2 linked regions of the Mus musculus genome follow. The protein of the gene in region 2 interacts with the protein of the main gene of each other region in a biochemical or structural test. Links are inferred from orthologs where the notes say so. Each region holds a gene or a part of one and is shown on either strand. Other genes may lie near its edges.

Region 1 (11,230 bases), on a different chromosome or scaffold from region 2:
AGGTTCAATTCCCAGCACCCATTGGTTGGTTCTCAACCACTTATAACTCCAGTGTCATGGGATGCGATGCCCTCTTTTGGCCTCTGCAAGAAGCAGGCATGTATGTGGTGCACGTACAAACACTCAAGTAAAACACCCACACATGAAATTAAATCTAATTTAAAATTAAAAGAAAAGGACAATGGCAGGCCTGGAAAAATGACTCCGAGGGCCAGGCAGTGGTAGCACATGCCTTTAATCCCAGCACTTGGGAGGCAGAGGCAGGCAGATTTCTGAGTTCAAGGTCAGCCTGGTCTACAGAGGGAGTTCCAGGCCATCCAGGGCTACACAGAGAAACCCTGTCTCGGGGGGGGGGGGGGGGGGGGGATGACTTGGAGGTTAGGAACACTTGTTGGTGTTGCCGAGGACCCAGGTTCGATTCCCAGCATCTGCATGAAAGTTCACAACCATCCATTAGTTCCAGTTCCAAGAGATTTGTTGCCTTCTTCTGACTCACTTGGGCATCAGGCATGCACATGGTACATACACATACACATATGAAAGCAAAATACTTATACTCATAAAATAAAATTAATAGATCTCTAAAAAGTAAAAATAGCAAATGCTTTTAAAATGCAAGCTGCTCAATAGAAGGATACACTCACATAGCTATCAAAATCCATGAGCTTTTAAAAACATTTATTTTTATCTTATGTGTATGAGTGCTTTGCCAGCTAGTTTGTCTACGCACCATGCTCATACAGTACCCTCAGAAGCCAGAAGAGGGTGTCAGCCTGGAGTTACAGAAGACTAAACTGCCATACCTGTGCTGAGGTTTGAACCTGGGTCCTCTGGAAGAGCAGGAAGTGCTGCCTACACCTGAGCCGTCTCTCTAACCTAAACCAGCTTTAAAAAAAAAAAAATGGTTTCCTTGGCAGAAGCAGGCAGATTTCTGAGTTTGAGGCCAGCCTGATCTACAAAGTGAGTTCCAGGACAGCCAGGACTATACAGAGAAACCCTGTCTCGAAAAACAAAAACAAAAACAAACCAAACGGGCTGGTGAGATGGCTCAGTGGGTAAGAGCACCCGACTGCTCTTCCGAAGGTCCAGAGTTCAAATCCCAGCAACCACATGGTGGCTCACAACCACCCGTAAGGAGATCTGACTCCCTCTTCTGGAGTGTCTGAAGACAGCTACAATGTACTTACATATAATAAATAAATAAATCTTTAAAAAATTTTAAAAAACAAACAAACCAACCAAACCAAAAAAAAAAAAAAAAAACAAAACAAAACAAAACAAAACAAAAAAAAACCCGAAAAAGTTTCCCTTATCCCTTTGGTTTTGTTATTTGGAAACAAGGTTTCAATTTTGTATCTCTTAGAAGGCAGGATGATCAGAAACTGAAACCCAGTGTGGGCTACTGAGAAAAAAATCTCACTATTATCATTTACACAATCTTACAAAATCCATATGACTGGATCCTGATTTCCCTAAGCAATCTTAATTTCATAAAAACAAGTGTGTGTGTGTGTGTGTGTGTGTGTGTGTGTGTGTGTGCATCTAGAAGCAAAGATGAGAAAGAAATATACACAAATGACTAAGCTTTTTCTCTGCAGTAAGATTATGGGTAATAGCAACCTCTACTGAATGGTCTCCTTTGGTCCTGAAGTAACTATCTAGCTATCTTTAATATAAAAGAAAGCTTCTGATATCGACCTGATAAAGTTCCCCTGTAGCACCCAGCCAGAGCTCCTCCGCGGCTTAGTAAATGGTGACTGAATGAGAGGGGAGCCTTACCCCTCCCCGACAGGGCCAGCTTTACACAGACTGCCTCCGAACAGCTACTGAACGCCTGGAGCTGGTTGGCACCTCATGACTTCCTTACTCTCACCCTGTAAGGGTCTACCACCCTCCCATTCCACAGAGCAGAACACTGAGGCATAGAGAGATAATATATGTATTGCTTAAGCTCACTTAGAAAAATGTCACTAGCCAGGTGTTGGTGGCGCATGCCTTTAATCCCAGCACTTGGGAGGCAGAGGCAGGCAGATTTCTGAGTTCGAGGCCAGCCTGGTCGACACAGTAAGTTCCAGGACAGCCAGGGCTATACAGAGAAACCCTGTCTCAAAAAAAAAAAAAGAAAGAAAGAAAGGAAGGAAGGAAGGAAGGAAGGAAGGAAGAAAGAAAGAAAGAAAGAAAGAAAGAAAGAAAGAAAGAAAGAAAGAAAGAGAAAAGAAAAATGTCACCGTCTGATGATGGCCCCTGTTTGATGCTCATTGTGTAATAGTCACTATGATGGTCACTGTGTGATGGACACAGTGTTATGGCCCCTGTGTGGCTCTAATGTCCAGGTTTGCAGCTGCTGATATCAAATACCGAGGCCTTGAGATTTACCTAGCCCTAGCCTGCTCTCTGTGCATCTCAAGCCTAGCACAGGCCGAGTGGTTAAGGTTTGGGGGCTCAGAAAGACCAGGTCTAAGATGGGCATGGTGGTGTGTGTCTGTAACCCTATTATTTGAACAGTAGATGAGACAGGAAGAGGGGACGTTAACATTCATCCTCAACAATATGGCAAGTTGGGACCAGCCTTGGCTACAGGAGACCCTGTCACAGAACAAAAGCTGAGCTTGCAACGCCTTTGTGGTGAGAGGCACTTGCTGCCTCTGAGCCCATGTTCTAGTCTATGAATGAGAACAGAAGAGCCCACTGTGGGACTCAAGTGCAGGTTGGAGAATCCCTAGACTCCAGAAGAAGCTCAGGAGAGACTCTGTGTCCTTGGCGACTCTTCCCACCGCTGTGTCTGTGACTCACATGCTCCCCGGGGAATGATCCTAAGACCTGGGAAATGGCAGATTCTGGGCAAGACCGGCAGGCCCTGGCCTCAGCTCACTCTCCACTCCTCCCGTTTTGCTTCATCCAAAGTCATTGGGCCAGTTTCTGCCTTCCTGTTAGGGCTAGCAGGCTTGAGTTTCAGAGAGAGGTTAAGGAAGCTGGAGGCAGGGGGTTTGGTTACCTGTCCAGGGCTCCTCCCATCGCCCGGCACTAGCCTCTAATTCCTCAACACTCGCTCCACCCCTTCACCAGACCCATCCTCTTGACCATCATTCTTCATGGATGGCTCTCCTGATGCTCCTGACATTCAAAGCGCCTTGACTTCCCAGCATGGCTGGCCCGAGCTTGGGGCCACGAACCTGTCCAGACTCCAATTTCACATCCAGACTAGCAGCCAGAGCCCCAGCTCATGGTCTGTCCCGACCACCCTGGCCTGTCTCCAAGCCTTCCCCTTAGAGTCTCATTCCTTTCCCCCTGATCGCCCTGTCCCTATGCTCTGTGGCACTCCTCCTACATCTCTCTGCAACTTCTCGGGATTTCTGAACAGCAGAGACTAAGTTGGTAGACTCAGACTGGCTCCAGGCACAACTGAAGCTCAGAACACAGCGGTCGCCTCTGCTTCCCGGCAATCCGGACAACCCTTCCGCCTCTGATGATCCCGACCACTCCAGGGAAAAGGACACCACTTTTATGGTTTTCGTGTCTTTATCCTGTAGCCTCTCTGCCTTCATGGCCACCGAGGCCTCAGGTGAAACCCTCTGCTCCCTTCTAGACCTCTACAGTCTGAGCCGTTCTAGCTGCCTGAGATGCCCCACCCCGCCCTGCCTCTCCATACAGCCAACTGCAGCATCTCAGACACCTCACAGTCCAGGTATCACCTCCTCTGGCTAAATCAAGTCCCTGCTCTGGATTCCACAGCCCTAGGAAGTTGCATTTGATCCTAGAGTCACAACTAACCTTGGGTCCCTAGAGCATGGCTGTTAGGGGCCAGAGGCCACGGGAGGCTTGTGCTCAGAGTCTGGGCGTTAAGGGCTCTCATGCCCAGTGTGGTGGAACACACCTTTAATTTCAGTAGGGGGCGAGGCATGTGGATCTCTATCAGGTGACTTCAAGGCCAGCCTGGTTCTACATCGTGAACACAGTCAAGGCTGTGCCAAAAAAAAAAAGAGAAAGAAACCTGAGGCTGGACAGGTGTGTCGATGATTAACAGCAATTAGTATTGTTATATTTGTTGACTGACAAAACGTGTGCCCTTGCAGGACCAGAGACAGGGCCCACTGTGGAAACTACAGACAACAGGGCCCCAGCTACCCACGCCGCACACCTGCAGCAGCTGCAGCTGTACTGGTTAATCCGGACCCCCAACACACACCAAAGGCCTAGGACGCTTCCCAGTGCCTGCTATTAGGCCATTACCTGCATGCCTCCGTTTAATCTTCCCAACAGACTATTGTGGGGCTTTTGGGGGGAGGTGGGTAATGGGGCTTGGGGAAGTTTGGTTTCTCTGTGTAGCCTTGGTTGTCCTGGAACTCACTCTATAGACCAGGCTGGTCTTGAACTACTCACAGAGATCTGCTTGCCTTTGCCTCCCGAGTGCTGGGATTAAAGGCGTGCACCACCACTGCCTGGCCCCAACAGGCTATTCTAAATCACCGTATATTTTCAAATGAGATAAATGAGGCTTGGGGAAGGTGAGCTGTTTGGCCAAAGCCACATTGTTACAACATGTTGAAGTTGGGATAGAAACAGGGTACCACCTGGCCCACAGCCATGACCTTTACCTCTGCACTCCATCATCTTTATGGAATGTCTTCTGGATGAGAGTCCAGGATCTGAACCCCTAATCTGAGCAAGAGAGGGGACAGAGGCAAGAGACACATGCTGTCTAAACAAGACAGGGTCTTAGTGCTCCCAAATCTCAAAACTCATCTCAGCAGCCCCTGGCGCCTTGGCAGCAAACAGAGAGGAAAGCAAAACCTCTCGTTTGCTTATTGCATATTGTGGAGCCTGCTATGAGCCCTTACCTCGGTCTGGGGTCTGCAGGGGGTGCTTCACTTACATCAGTGCGCCCACAGGTACAGATGGGTTGGAGACATTTTGCTTTGTTAATTTAGGCAGTTCTCAGCCTTGCCTGTCTGGAGGCAAGTACCCTGCCATTTAGCTATACCCCAAGCCCATTATCCTAGTCTGGCCTCAAATTCTCTATGTAACCAAAGCATGACTTTGAACTTCTGAGCCTTCTGCTTCAACACCCCCCAGGACTGGGATTACAGCCGTGGGACCACCATGTCCAGTGTGTAGTGTGCTGGGGACTGAACACTACAAACTAATGTAAGGATTCACACATGCTGCAGAAGCTATCAATTAAGCGTACAGTCTGTGGCCCCTAAAGCCCTTACTAATAATCTCTCTCTCTCTCTCTCTCTCTCTCTCTCTCTCTCTCTCTCTCTCTCCCTCCCTCCCTCCCTCCCTCCCTCCCTCTCTCTCTTCTCTAGCTGGCCTTAAGTTCATTCTGTAGCCCAGGCCTCAAGGAGGATAAATCTGCCCTGAATCATATCCCGAGTTCCTGACCACATGGCCACTGGGGAAGGGAAGAGAGAACCCCATGGCCAGTTCACAGGAACTACGGGGCTCTCCATCAGAGAACACGCAGCACAAAGACTGGTGTTCAAAGTCATCCCGGGTGCCTCCATCACCTATGACCTAGAGGTTTGACAAGAAACAATGCAAATACACTCTCAGTCTCATACAGAATTACAAACTGATGGCTTGGGACAAGCACACACACAGCAACCACAGAAGACCGACTACTAAATGTGACTTGGGGCGTGTCCCCACAGCCCGGAGCAGACAGTCTGTCCCTGTTGTATGCTCCAAAGACCTAAGGTATTTTGTAGAGCACCTCAGCTCACCCTTGCAAGGTTTCAGAGGATCGAACACACACGCTACCGTCAAACTGCCCAATCACAAACTGCGTGCGCGGCAGACACACAAAGTGTTGCCAAACTGTCCCACCTCCATGATGCAGAAGCAAAGAGATGTCAAGGATGATTAAGTGTTATGTAGTTAGGCTAGTGCAAGCACACACACACACACACACACACACACACACACACGCCTTGTCCTCATAATCTCAGAGGACCTGGCCTCTGTGCAGGACATTCAGGAACCCGGGGAGTCAGGGTTGGGTATCCTGGTCTACAAAGAGTAGAGTCCACTCTGACCCTGGGACCAAACCCCGCGACGCCCTCGGCTGACTCACCGGACGATGCCAAACATGACGAGCACGTTGCCCAGAAGCCCCACTGCGCACACAGCCGAGTAGAGCGCGGTGATGGCGATGGCTAGGGCGAGGGACGAGGCACTACGGGCTCCCGGCGACCCCGACGCATTGGCGCCCGCGCTGGGGAAGGCGCTGGGAAAGGCGTCCGAGAGGTTGACGAGGGGCGAGGACTGCAGCTCCGCACGGGCAGAGGGCACCAGCTCCATGGCGCCGCCGTGTCCGTCTCCACCGTGCGCCCTGGGCGCAGGGACCCAGCGAGTGGCGCGCGGAAAACGGAGGCCACGGCCCCGACGCCGCAGGCTGCAGCGCTCGCTCCCGCCTCCTCCGCCCGGTCGACCGCCCGCAGTGCTCGCCCAAGCCCGGGGAGCCCCGAGCCGCCGCGCGCACCACGTGGTCCGGAGGCGGCCGCCAGTCTGCGCCCGCGATCGGGGGCGGGCGCTGCACCACCGGGCTCCGAGCTGGGCCAGAGAGGCCTCGCGCGCGCTCCCTGCCTGGGCTCCGCTGACTCCAGGTGCCCCCAGCCCGGCCCAGCCTCCCGCCCCACCCCCGTGCCACTTCGGAGTCAGAAGAACCTGGATGCGAATCCCGCCTCCCGCCTCTTCACGGACGATGGGAGTAACCTTGAGCGAGCCGCTTAAGCACTCTCAAGTTCATTCTCTGTGACTGCACGATGAAGAAAATCTCCTGCCGCCTTCAGAGGGTTTTGGGGAGATGAAGACAACGGAGTAAAGAACTCAGATTTCCACCACCACCACCACCACCACCACCACCACCACCACCACCCCCGTGTACTGTGTGCGCTCTGCTCCTTGCCGTGTCTTCTAGAACTGCCAAGTGATTCCTGACCAAGAAACAAAAACAAAACCGTCCAGTTCCCCCAAAGGCTCCGGATGAAAACTAGTAATATGATCAGCTACAACCTCAAGGGGAGACACTGGAAATAAGCCCACCTGGGTCTGTACAGCTTGGCACCGGACATGGCAGACATAAGCCGCAATCAAGGTCACTAACCATCTCACTACATCAAGCTGAAAAAGGTCACACCTATCTGGACAGATGTGTGTATGTTATTAGAGACACAACTTTCCTGTCTGGCTCATTGCTCTGAGCTAGCAGGCTGCTTGAGCGATAAATAAAACCACAAACATCCGTTATCAGCCACACTTTCCTGCGCCCAGTTCACTAGCTCCACATTCACTCTGAGGGCGCCTAACAGAAGAGCCAGGTACATCGGTGTGCATAATCAAAGGCCCGGCTCCCAAGAGCTTACAGCTCAGACCGGAAGAGATGCATCGATTCTAAAAAAACACAATGAAGTCCTATTCAAGGAATGTCGGGGCAGGGTAGGGTCAGGAGAATATTCCTAAAAGAAATGACACTTAAGGTGTTGTGTGGATTTAGAGGTGGGGGAGACTAATTTAGGGAAGAAATAGGAAGAGCCTTCTAGAAAAAAGAAAAACATATATAAAGGTCCTACAAGTCAAAAAGACTGAAGACAGCCAGGGTCACAGCAGGGAGCTCCGTGGTGTTTGTGTTGGATTGGTTTGTTTCCCTCCTCCTCGACTAAGCATACCTGGGAAGAGGGAATCTTAACTGAGAAAATGCCCCTTAAGATGTACCGATAGGGGCTGGTGAGATGGCTCAGTGGGTAAGAGCACCCGACTGCTCTTCTGAAGGTCCAGAGTTCAAATCCCAGCAACCACATGGTGGCTCACAACCATCTGTAACAAGATCCGACGCCCTCTTCTGGAGTGTCTGAAGACAGCTACAGTGTACTTACATATAATAAATAAGTAAATCTTTAAAAAAAAAAATGTACCGATAGGCAAGTCTGTGCGCCATTTTCTTGATGGATGATTGATGGGCGGTTCCACCCCTAGGCAGATGATCCTGGGTTGTGTAAAAAAAGCAAGTTGAGCAGACCTGTGAGCAGTGTTCCTCCATGGCTTCTGCTGCAGTTCTTCCTGGAGTTCCTTAGAGGACAGGCTGTGATGTGGAAGTGTAAGCCAAAGAAACTCTTTCCTCCCTAGTTGCTTTTGATCCTGTTTTTCTAATCACAGCAATAGAATCCCTAACTAAGACAAGCAACTTAAGTAGGGCTGGAGAGATGGCTCAGTGGCTAAGAGTACTTGGTGCTCTTGCAAAGGCCGGGAGTTCAGCTCCCAGCACTCATATGGTGGGTGATTCACAACCGTCTGTGCTCTGGTTCTAGGGGCTCTGATGCCCTCTTCTGGCCTCCATGAACACTGCATACACACAGTACAAAGACATTCAAGCAGGTAAACACACATAAAATAAAAATTTAACAACAGCGGGGCATGGCGGCATAAACCTTTAACCCTAGCACTCGGGAGACAGAGACAAGTGGAGCTCTGTGAGTTCAAAGCCAGCCCAGTCTACATAACCAGTTCCAATCCAGCCAGGCCTGCATAGTGAGACCTTGTCTTATAATAATAATAATAATAATAATAATAATAATAATAATAATAATAATAATAATAAACGTAATTAAAAACCAAGGCCACCTTATGGACCAGTTGTGCTGTTAGAATAGCAGATGAAGGGAGGTTGTATGGCTGGCTCTCTCTTCCTATACTCATTCTCCAGCCAAGATCCTGAGCCATCCTTTTCTTTAAGGTCCCCAGCTGTTCCAGAACGTTCTCTCTATCAAGCTGTTGCATGCCTGGGAAGTCTTTGTCTGGTCAGATAGAGAGGGCAAGGATCGAAGAATAAAATCTATCCTAGTCTGATTTGGTTATTGCTTTACTTACAGGGGCAGGGTTACCTACTGGGGTGTGAAAGTCTAAGGTGGTTTCATCACCAAAAAGCCCCACCAACTCATGGATGACAGTTTAGGGGGAAATCCCAGGCAGAACTTGCAGGGATCTCCAACACTGAAAAGTCTCCTCTCCCCAGCAACTTTCTGCTATTCCTGTGACCTGAACCAAGAAGCTCAGAGCCTGTAGTGAGTTTGCTGAGCGTCCTAATGTTTGATTTCTTGTGAGTTCATGAGCCTTCCCACTCAACACCTCCAAGGGTCGGGTTTTTTTGGGGGGGGGTGTTTTTTGTTTTTCTTTCCTTTTTTAAAAAATATTTATTTATTTCATGTATGTTGGTACACTGTAGCTGTTTTCAGACACACCAGGAGAGGGCATCAGATTCCATTACAGATGGTTGTGAGCCACCATGTGGTTGCTGGGAATTGAACTCAGGACCTCTGGAAGAGCAGTCAGTGCTCTTAACCGCTGAGCCATCTCTCCAGCTCCTCCCTCCTTTTTCCTTTTTAAATAAGATCATACTGTACAACCCTGGGACTCACTATGTAGACTAGGTTAGCCTCAAACCTGTGCTGATCCCTTGACTATACTTCGCTCTGGAGTGCTGGAATTACAGACAGGAGCCACCATGCCTGGCTGTCAACAGGATATTTGAAGGAAGAAACAGCTATACTACATGTGGTGGTTGGATAAGAATGGCCCTCATAGGCTCAAATGTTTGAATGCTCAGTCATGAGGGAGTGGCACTACTTGGAAGGATTAGGAGGCATGGCCTTGTTGGAAGAAGTGTATCACTAGGGGTGGGCTCTGAGGTTTTAGTAGCCCAAGTCAGGGGGATAGAGAGATGGCTCAGTGGTTAAGAGCACAGACTGCTCTTCCCGAGATCCTGAGTTCAATTCCCAGCAACCACATGGTGGCTCACAGCTATCTGTAATGGGATCTAATGCCCTTTTCTGGTGTGTCTGAAGACAGCAGCAGTGTACTTACATACAAAAAATAAATATAAATCTTAAGAAGGAGAAGAAGAAGAAGAAGAAGAAGAAGAAGAAGAAGAAGAAGAAGAAGAAGAAGAAGAAGAAGAAGAAGAAGAAGAAGAGGAGGAGGAGGAGGAGGAGGAGGAGGAGGAGGAAGAGGAGGAGGAGGAGGAGGCAGAGGCAGAGGCAGAGTGGCTCTCTCATCCTACTGTCTGCAGATCCAGATGTAGAACTCTGAACTCCCCATGATCATGTCTGTCTGCATGCCACCATGTTTTCCACCATGACAATAATGAACTAAGCCTTTGAACTGTAAATCAGCTCCAAGCACTGTGGTGAGTAATTTATCCATGGATCACCATTTAACATTATACTCTTTTTATTGTCCCACTTTACAGATAAGAAAATTGAGGGTTGGCACTAAATTATCCCATACAGTAGCTATTTTTTTTGAGTTTCTTCTTTTTATTAACGCATACACAACTACTTGTCTTCTGGTTTGTTGAAGCAGTAAGTCAGACAACACTTGCCACAGTAATGCCTGTCAAAGTGGCTTCCCGTAAAAACTCCAGCACCACATTCATCAGAAGGACACTCTCAACGAAGTCGGCTAATTTTGCCATTTTCATCCACCTTATAGTATTTCAGCACAGCCAACTTAACCTTCTTCCTCTTATGCTTATTCTTCTTGGGAGTGGTGTAAGACTTCTTCTTTCTTTTCTTAGCACCACCAAGAAGGCTCAACACAAGATGAAGGGTGGACTCCCTTTGAATGTTGTAGTCAGACAAAGTCCGGCCATCTTCCAGCTGCTTACCAGCAAAGATCAGCCTCTGCTGATCAGGAGGAAGTCCTTCCTTATCCTGGGTCTTGGCCTTTACATTTTCTATAGTGTCCGAGGGTTCAACCTCGAGTGTGATGGTTTTCCCCGTAAGGGTCTTCACAAAGATCTGCATCGTGGCGGCGGCTCCACCCACGATGGCGGATCAGAAAGCACAGTAGCTATTCTTATATGATCTTCTCACCATCTTAAAGAGACCAGGTCTGGCTGATCCTTGAAGCCAGGAGAGGTCTGGTCACACTGGGTGCTTGGAGCATGTCATTTGAAATAATGAAGATTCCCCAGGTGGATTGGAATAAGACCATTATTGGTGCTTCTCAGTTCTGTGCTCTTGGGTAATGACCTGGGTTCTGAGGGTAGGCTGGCAAGGAAAATCCCTCCCGACCCTCCACATGAGTCATTTATCAAGACATTTACTCTTTCCCAGAAAGAACAGAGCCAGCGGCTGGAGAGATGGCTCAGCAGTCAAAAGCCAGGATTGTTCTTGCAAAAGACCCAAATTTGGTTCCTAGCATCCTTGTAGGAAAGTTCACAACTGCCTGT
Region 2 (7,515 bases):
CATACTATGAGCATGTTGGTAATGGCTACAATACCAAATGTAATGACTCCTTCTCCCACTGCATCTAATTAACCACCGTTAGTTCCTCAGACAGCTATGCTACTCCAAACGCCTCTGCCTATTTATAATGGAGTGGTCTGAAACCACAGCTGCTATGACTTCATAGGTGAAATAGCCATGCCACATACAGAAGACAGAAGATGGTGTTTCAAAGAGTTTATCTCAAAAACCAGCCTTATTTTCTTTCTGATAGCATTTTTGCAATGTTCCTTTGGAACCTTGAAAGGGAAATACAGATATTCCTTTAGAGATGAGTGGTCAACTGTCAGTTATTTTCAGCTCTTTGACCACTCTCCATGTTGTCACCCACTGCAAACAGAGCTGCCTCTTCATCTTTTCTTTTCTTTCCTTTTCTTTTCTTTTCTTTTCTTTTCTTTTCTTTTCTTTTCTTTTCTTTTCTTTTCTTTTCTTTCCTTTCCTTTCCTTTCCTTTCCCTTCCTTCCTTCCTTCCTTCCTTCCTTCCTTCCTTCCTTCCTCCCACCCTCCCTCCTTCTATCCCTTCTTTCTTTCTCTGTGTAACAAACAGCCTTAGCTGTCCTGGACTTGCTCTGTAGACCAGCCTGGCCTCAAACTCACAGAGATCCACCTGCCCCTGCCTCCCAAGATGCTGGGATTAAAGATGTTTGCTACCATTGCCAGGCTAAACAAGGATGAGAGAAGCACTAACATATGGGTATAAATGTAAATGTTTAGAGAAGAGGTGGTAGTTTATTCCTTTACTCCAAGCACTACAGAGGCAGGTCCAGCTCTGAGTTTGTAGCCAGGTCTGGTCTACATATCAACTTTCAGACCATCCAGATCTACACAGTGAGACACTTATCTAAAACCAAAACCAAAACCAAATCCACACATACCCATAAATCAGTGTGATTGTGTTTACTTAGCAAGACAACTTCCTCAGTAGAAATAGAAGCTTCCTCCCATGGGGCTGGTGAGATGGCTCAGTGGGTAAGAGCACCCGACTGCTCTTCCGAAGGTCCAGAGTTCAAATCCCAGCAACCACATGGTGGCTCACAATCTTCTGTAAGGAGTGTCTGAAGACAGCAACAGTGTATTTACATATAATAAATAAATCTTAAAAAAAAAAAGAGTGAGTTCCAGGTCAGCCAGGGCTATACAGAGAAACCCTGTCTCAAAAACCAAAAAAAAAAAAAAAAAAAAAAGAAGAAGAAGCTTCCTCCCTTGCACCCATGACTTTGTTAACTATGGAGTACTGACCAGTATTCCAGTACTTGGCATGGCTTCCCTCCTGGGAAATTAGTTTCAAATACAATTAAAGCAGTTCACTTTCCAAGTAGCTGTCATTCTGATATTGCAACACTAAGTAAATATTTTCTGACATGCCAACAAAGTAGTTCACAGAGTTCACAGCTTCCTAGGACCATTCATAGCTTTTCTTTCTCCAGTAGCCCAAATAGCATCCTATTTTGGCACTATGAAAGGTAACCAGGCAGTAGGGACCCTTCCAGCTAGCTGTCAGCTTGATTTCTTTGGAATCTGCGACCAAAATATCAAAGTTTGAAATGTGTTTAGCCATGGGAACCTATTTTGTTGTTGTTGTTGTTGTTGTTGTTGTTGATCTGGAAATAACCAAGAGCAATAGAAATTGGGTGTATTGGAAACCACTGAGGCTTCTTTGATCAACAACTCATAGTAAGGTACCTGATGTTTGGTACTAAGGTGTGTGTGTGTGTGTGTGTGTGTGTGTGTGTGTGTGTGTGTGTGTATTCATTATCCATTTATATACTCATGGACATATAATCTGGTCTGATTCCATTTCTCAGCTATTCTGAATACAGCCACAATGGACATGGATATGCAAGTATCTCTGTGGTGGATTATGGAGCTCTTTTGGAATGTTCTTGGGAATGGTATAAGTGAGTCACACAGTGCTTCTAATTTTTACTTTTTAAGAAACCCCCATGCTGATTTCCATAGTGGTTTCACCAGTTCTACCAGTTTACACTTCCACCAACAGTGGGTGGATAAGCTTTTTTTTCCCCCCATATCCCCATCAGGATTTGTCAAGAAAACAACTGGCACCAAACACTATTGAAGATGCAGCATATGTTTAAGGGTTTAAAGATACATTAAAGTTAAAAGGCTTACTAGGGGAAATGATAATGGCATTCTGTCGATGCGCCAGTAGCCAAAAAGACCCTGAAACTGGAAAATGGTTTGAGTGGATTTATCCAGAGTTGACCACTACTTCCTGTTTTCTCTTTCTTTCTTTCTTTCTTTCTTTCTTTCTTTCTTTCTTTCTTTCTTTCTTTCTTTCTTTCTATTAGATATTTTCTTCATTTACATTTCAAATGCTATCCCAAAAGTCCCCTATATCTTCCCCCCACCCTGCTCCCCTACCCACCCACTCCTGCTTCCTGGTACTATTCCTGGTACTGTACTGGGGCATATGATCTTCGCAAGACCAAGGGCCTCTCCTCCCATTGATGGCCGGCTAGGCCATCCTCTGCTACATATCCAACTAGAGACACAAGCTCTGGGGGGTACTGGTTAGTTCATATTGTTGTTCCACCTATAGGGTTGCAGACCCCTTTAGCTCCTTGGGTACTTTTTCTAGCTCATTCATTGGGGTCCCTGTGTTCCATCCAATAGCTGACTCTGAGCATCCACTTCTGTATTTGCTAGGCCCCATCATAGTCTCACAAGAGACAGCTATATCAGGGTCCTTTCAGCAAAATCTTTCTGGCATATGCAATAGTGTCTGGGTTTGGTGGTTGTTTATGGGATGGATCCCTGGGTGGGGCAGTCTCTGGATGGTCTTTCCTTCCGTCTCAGCTTTGGAACTTGTCTCTGTAACTCCTTCCATGGGTATTTTGTTCCCTATTCTAAGGAGGAATAAAGTATCCACATGTTGGTCTTCTTTCTTCTTGATTTTCTTGTGTTTTGCAAATTGTATCTTGGATAGTCTAAGTTTCTGGGCTAATATCCACTTATCAATGAGTGCATATCATGTGTGTTCTTTTGTGATTAGGTTACCTTACTCAGGATGATGCCCTCCAGTCCATCCATTTGCCTAAGTTAATACCAGCCTTATTTATAATAGCCAGAAGCTGGAAAGAACCCAGATGTCCCTCTTTCTTTCTTTCTTTCTTTCTTTCTTTCTTTCTTCCTTCCTTCCTTCCTTCCTTTCTTTCTTCCTTCCTTTTTCTCTTTTCTTTCCTTCTCTCCTCTTCTCTTCTCTTCTCTTCTCTCTCCCTCTCTCTATCTCTCTCTCTTTAACTGTTTTTAGGGCCCTGGGCTGGCCCATCTGGAGGGACCACTACCACCTATTTTTTACAATTATGTTTTATTGAGCCTCCCACCAAAACTATTTTCATCTTGTGTCCTGGGTCATGAAGATGGTCTGTCTGGACTGACCATCACCACCTAGTATTGTTCCTTATAGGCTGGTTATTCCTTCCAAAAGTTAACCTCCTGCCTCATGACATTATCAGGTTTTCTGATAATGTAGACTGGGACTGAGGGGAAACCATGCACTTTTATTAAGGCAATTTCAAAATTACAAACATCCCTGAAACAGGAAAAATGTCTCTCATCATAATCTACTAATGTCATAGCTCAGCTTAGAGTTGAGGCATACAGGACTGATGGGCTGGGACATTTCTAAGTGGTATACATGTTAGAAACACTTTCTGATTCTAAGGCTTATTTTAATTAAATTTATGTTCAAATAGATAATACAAACATGAGGCCCAGCATTCAAGATGCAAGGACTTATATAGTCAGAGATTTAGGGGGCAAGAAACGTGAGGGAACAAGCCCGGAGAAATCCACAGAGCAGGGACTGGTGTTGGTCCACGGGTACAAAGATACTTTGGTATTATGTCTTGTCAGTAAGAAGATTCTTGTTTTCCCAGTGCCTAGATTAAATCCAAGCCACTGCACCTTATGGTAGTGAGGTCATCCTGGAGTAGAACTCGTCTGCACAGTTCTTTTTCTCCCTGTTTTTCCTCTATCCTTACTTCATGTTATCTAAAACTATTTCAAAACAAGAAACATGCCGGACAATAAGAGCAAAAGATTTCAAGGGGTGGCAACAGGAAACATAAAAAGGGAGATTGAAAAACAAAACAAAACAAAACAAAAACGGTCTGGCAGCAGAGCAGTTTTCCATAGGTTCTGCCGCTGCAGCAAGAATTTTATGCAAACAAGCCCTTACAGGTGCATCACTGGCGGATTTTGCTTGTAGAAGGAACAGTTTAGAATTTGTTGGAATAAATGAGAATTTTTATTTGTAATTTCAGCGTTGAGAACCGCCCCACCCCCAGCATCGTTTCTACCTTGAGCCCCTCCCCTACCTAACCAGCTCACTTCAGTGGGCGGTGGGTTTAGTGAGGAACGTGTAAAAACACTAGAATTCTTTGCTATCCTTCCGCCCGGTAAGGCGGCCGCTTTTTCTTCTGACGCCACAGCGTGAAAACCGCATGCATTTCGAAATGGAAAGACATGTCTAAGAAGGAAGCTAAAACCGACATTTGGTAATCGCCTGCTTGCGGGTGCTTGGCGCGGTTTTCCCTAGTTCGGGATCAGAACCTAAGTGTCGCAGTGTGCGCCACAGTAGTATCACTCCGCTTCCCTAAGCCGGAACTCCTTAAATAACTCTAGCTCCTCCCTCTGCGGGCCTCCGTAATGACGTAGCCGCGCCTAGTGCGTCCCGGCGGATGTAGGTAGCTATGTAGTCGCTTCGTGAGGGACCGGAGAGAGGAGTGGGTACCGAAAGGTGACAGTAATTTGCTAGTCATGGCCCTTCATCTTGTCCTACATCCCAAGCTCCCGGCAAGCCCCTAAATTACAGTCGCCGCCATTGCCTCTGCTCCCTGCGGCGGACTGCCGACGGCGTTTGCCTGCCTCCTTTCTGTGTGGGAAGGCGCCGCCGGAGAGAACGCACCTAAGAAAACTGCCTTGGATTCAAGCAGAACAGGTCAGTAAGAAGGAGGGCATTGCTTGGGGTTGTGGTTGCGGGTTCCATGATTGGTGCGGGATTGGTGACCTGATTTTAGGGGGCGAGTGTTGGGAAGACAGACTAGGGAGGATGAGAAAAAGCTATCTACGTTTCCAGAAACTCGCTTCATCACGTTTGGGAAGGGAGATGGATGCAATGGCATCATCTACTGGGGAGATGGCGTACTTGTCAGAGAAAGGACTACCACCACTGATGAACGCAGTTGTCTGAGGAGCCTTGAGAATCAGGAAGGAGATACACAAAGGGGTTATAGATGTGGGAACATTAAATCTTGTGTTGGGTGTATTCGAAGATTGCACATTCTTATCTGACCATTAATTAACCATATCTTACTCAGTGCGATTTCATTTGATTTGGGGCTATCACACATTCATTTGTGTGGATAGATTTTGTGCCAAGTTTGCATTTCTCCACGTTTCAGGGCGGCAGATCAAAAGGGGAGGGGAGAAGATAAACAAAACTGACCTGATTTCTGTACTGTGGGAGAAAGCTGCAAGACTAGGTAGGGTTCTAGAATAATTTCTACATCTCCTCTTTTCCAGCCTTCCAGAAATGCCCTCCGCGTTACCCCAACTATGTTGCAGAATGTGATAGGTTTGTGTGGGTGGGTGGGGGATAATCATAAGAATGTGTAAGAAAATTGAAAATGATACTTTTCATTATTTCCCCAGCTTCCTGTTATTGTCAGGCGTTTCATCCCTACTGCTACCAGTACGACCAACTGTGCAGAGATGATTTAGTTGTCCCTTCATGGAAATGATCAGGCTTTAAGAATATAGCAGAGGAACGTGGAGATTTGGGGGTGTCATGGGGGGATGACAAAAAGAAAGGGAATCAGAGAATTCTTTACCAAACAAGTATCTGTATCCAGCAAGCATTTATTCCGTAATTACTGTTTCCTAAATTATACTCAGTAGTGCTGTTCTCATGTTTGTGGATTTCCATTGATAGACACATCCGGAGGGTTGTATAACTTGGCTGTTGTGAATGTTTGTAAAATAACTGAATGTGAAGCTAGGAGATAATGAGAAGGCAATTGTCCAGATTCGAGGATTAGTGTGAAGACAGACAAGGATCACTGAGACTAGAATGTCACACCCTTCTGTTTTGTCAGTTTCTCGATGACCTCTAGCTGGTCTGTGGATTCACTTAGGAGTCTTGGTCTAACTCTAGAGATAGATGCAGGATGGGAACATCTTCCTTTAATCCCCTCTTTCCTGTCCTGCTCTAACACTTCATTATCAACCGATTTTTCAACTAAGGGATTACCGAAACAGTCACTCAAGAAGACAATGGAGGGCCCCAAGGGAGGAGGAGGAAGAGGAGGAGGAACAGCTTTGAAGCTGGTTAATGGAAGGAGAGGAAGACCAGGAAGGGAAAAGCTAGACAAGCTTCTCTGAGAAGGCAAGAATAAGGGCCAGGAACCAAGGTCTGTATCCCAAGAGCTGAGTTTCTCTGTCCTCTTTATCTATCTATAGGTTTGCCAGATCTGCTGCAGGGCTTGTCGCCAGTGGAAACAGAGAAAGGAGGAAACAATCCCTTGGCAAGAGCGCAGGTTAGTATGAACGTGGGGACTCCTCGAGTAAGACCTATAGTATGGAACAGTAAAGATTTGGTTGGCTCCAGCCTAGGTCAGCAGATAGCCTCGGAATTTTGCAGCCTCTCGTGTCCATCCAGCTTTCCTATTCTTTCTGCCCTTATTGGTGTCTGCAAAGACAAATTGGTAGCACATGAAGGTATAGACAGTGGGTGAACTGAAAGGAGGAGTTGGCTCCTTGTCTCCTTCTTCCCCATAGAGCACTGAATTTCCATACTTAACTATGTCTCTGTGCTTATCAGCATGAGAAGAAAGCAAATTGGAAGAGACTTAAAGCCCCATTTCCTTCCTCCACCCCTAGGTCCAACTTCAGTGACAGATCTGATGGCCTTGGAGTGGCTGAAGACCACCACCCTCCACAGGCCTGCGCCCCAGCACAGCTATCCTTTATCTTGAGTGAGCTTCCTCAACATGCTGTCTATATGATTGGCAGAAACTGTAGTTGGAAAGGGGCTGAATGACTACTGGACTTTATATGAAAACACCTACTTGGGGCTGACTTTCGGGCAAGGCTGAGACAGGGGCATATTTATATTAAGCTTTGCCTTTCTCTCGAACCATGATTGGCTCTAAAACTAAAAGGAAAGCTAGAGAAGAGTCTGGGGCTTCCTCAAAACCTGGAACCAATAGCCCTGCCAATGCTAAAGGAAAAGCCAAGAATCAGACCACTAAAGCCGTTAAGGCAGAACCAAAAGAAGAATGGGGGAACCAGGCTGAGGCTAGGGATGAAGCAGTGGCCAGGACACAGCCAGCCATTTCCACTGAGCCCAAGACTGTGACCTGGAAAGTAAAAAAAAAGAAAGATAAGACTAATGCTAGAGTCATGGCTCAGGCTAAGACAGAACTCCCGGCAGGGCCTGCTTTAGTGCCTCAC

The links. The genes of interacting proteins can lie anywhere in the genome.
Region 1: the proteins of Gprasp1 (region 2) and Oprd1 form a complex in vitro, tested with the Homo sapiens proteins (2 studies listed by BioGRID and IntAct). The link is inferred for Mus musculus from reciprocal best matches to the Homo sapiens genes GPRASP1 and OPRD1.

Annotation. Positions count from the first base shown.
Region 1 is NC_000070.6:132,138,083-132,149,312, forward strand, and holds the start of Oprd1 (delta-type opioid receptor), read right to left. Parts: upstream 6,405-11,230; 5' UTR 6,304-6,404; coding exon 6,077-6,303; intron 1-6,076. UniProt on the Homo sapiens protein: G-protein coupled receptor that functions as a receptor for endogenous enkephalins and for a subset of other opioids.
Region 2 is NC_000086.7:135,737,977-135,745,491, forward strand, and holds the start of Gprasp1 (G-protein coupled receptor-associated sorting protein 1), read left to right. Parts: upstream 1-4,715; 5' UTR 4,716-5,002; intron 5,003-5,465; exon of another isoform or gene 5,466-5,546; intron 5,547-5,586; exon of another isoform or gene 5,587-5,638; intron 5,639-6,522; 5' UTR 6,523-6,599; intron 6,600-6,942; exon of another isoform or gene 6,943-7,200; coding exon of another isoform or gene 7,201-7,515. Other genes in the region: Armcx5 (armadillo repeat-containing X-linked protein 5), read left to right, coding at 7,201-7,515. UniProt on the Homo sapiens protein: Modulates lysosomal sorting and functional down-regulation of a variety of G-protein coupled receptors. Targets receptors for degradation in lysosomes via its interaction with BECN2.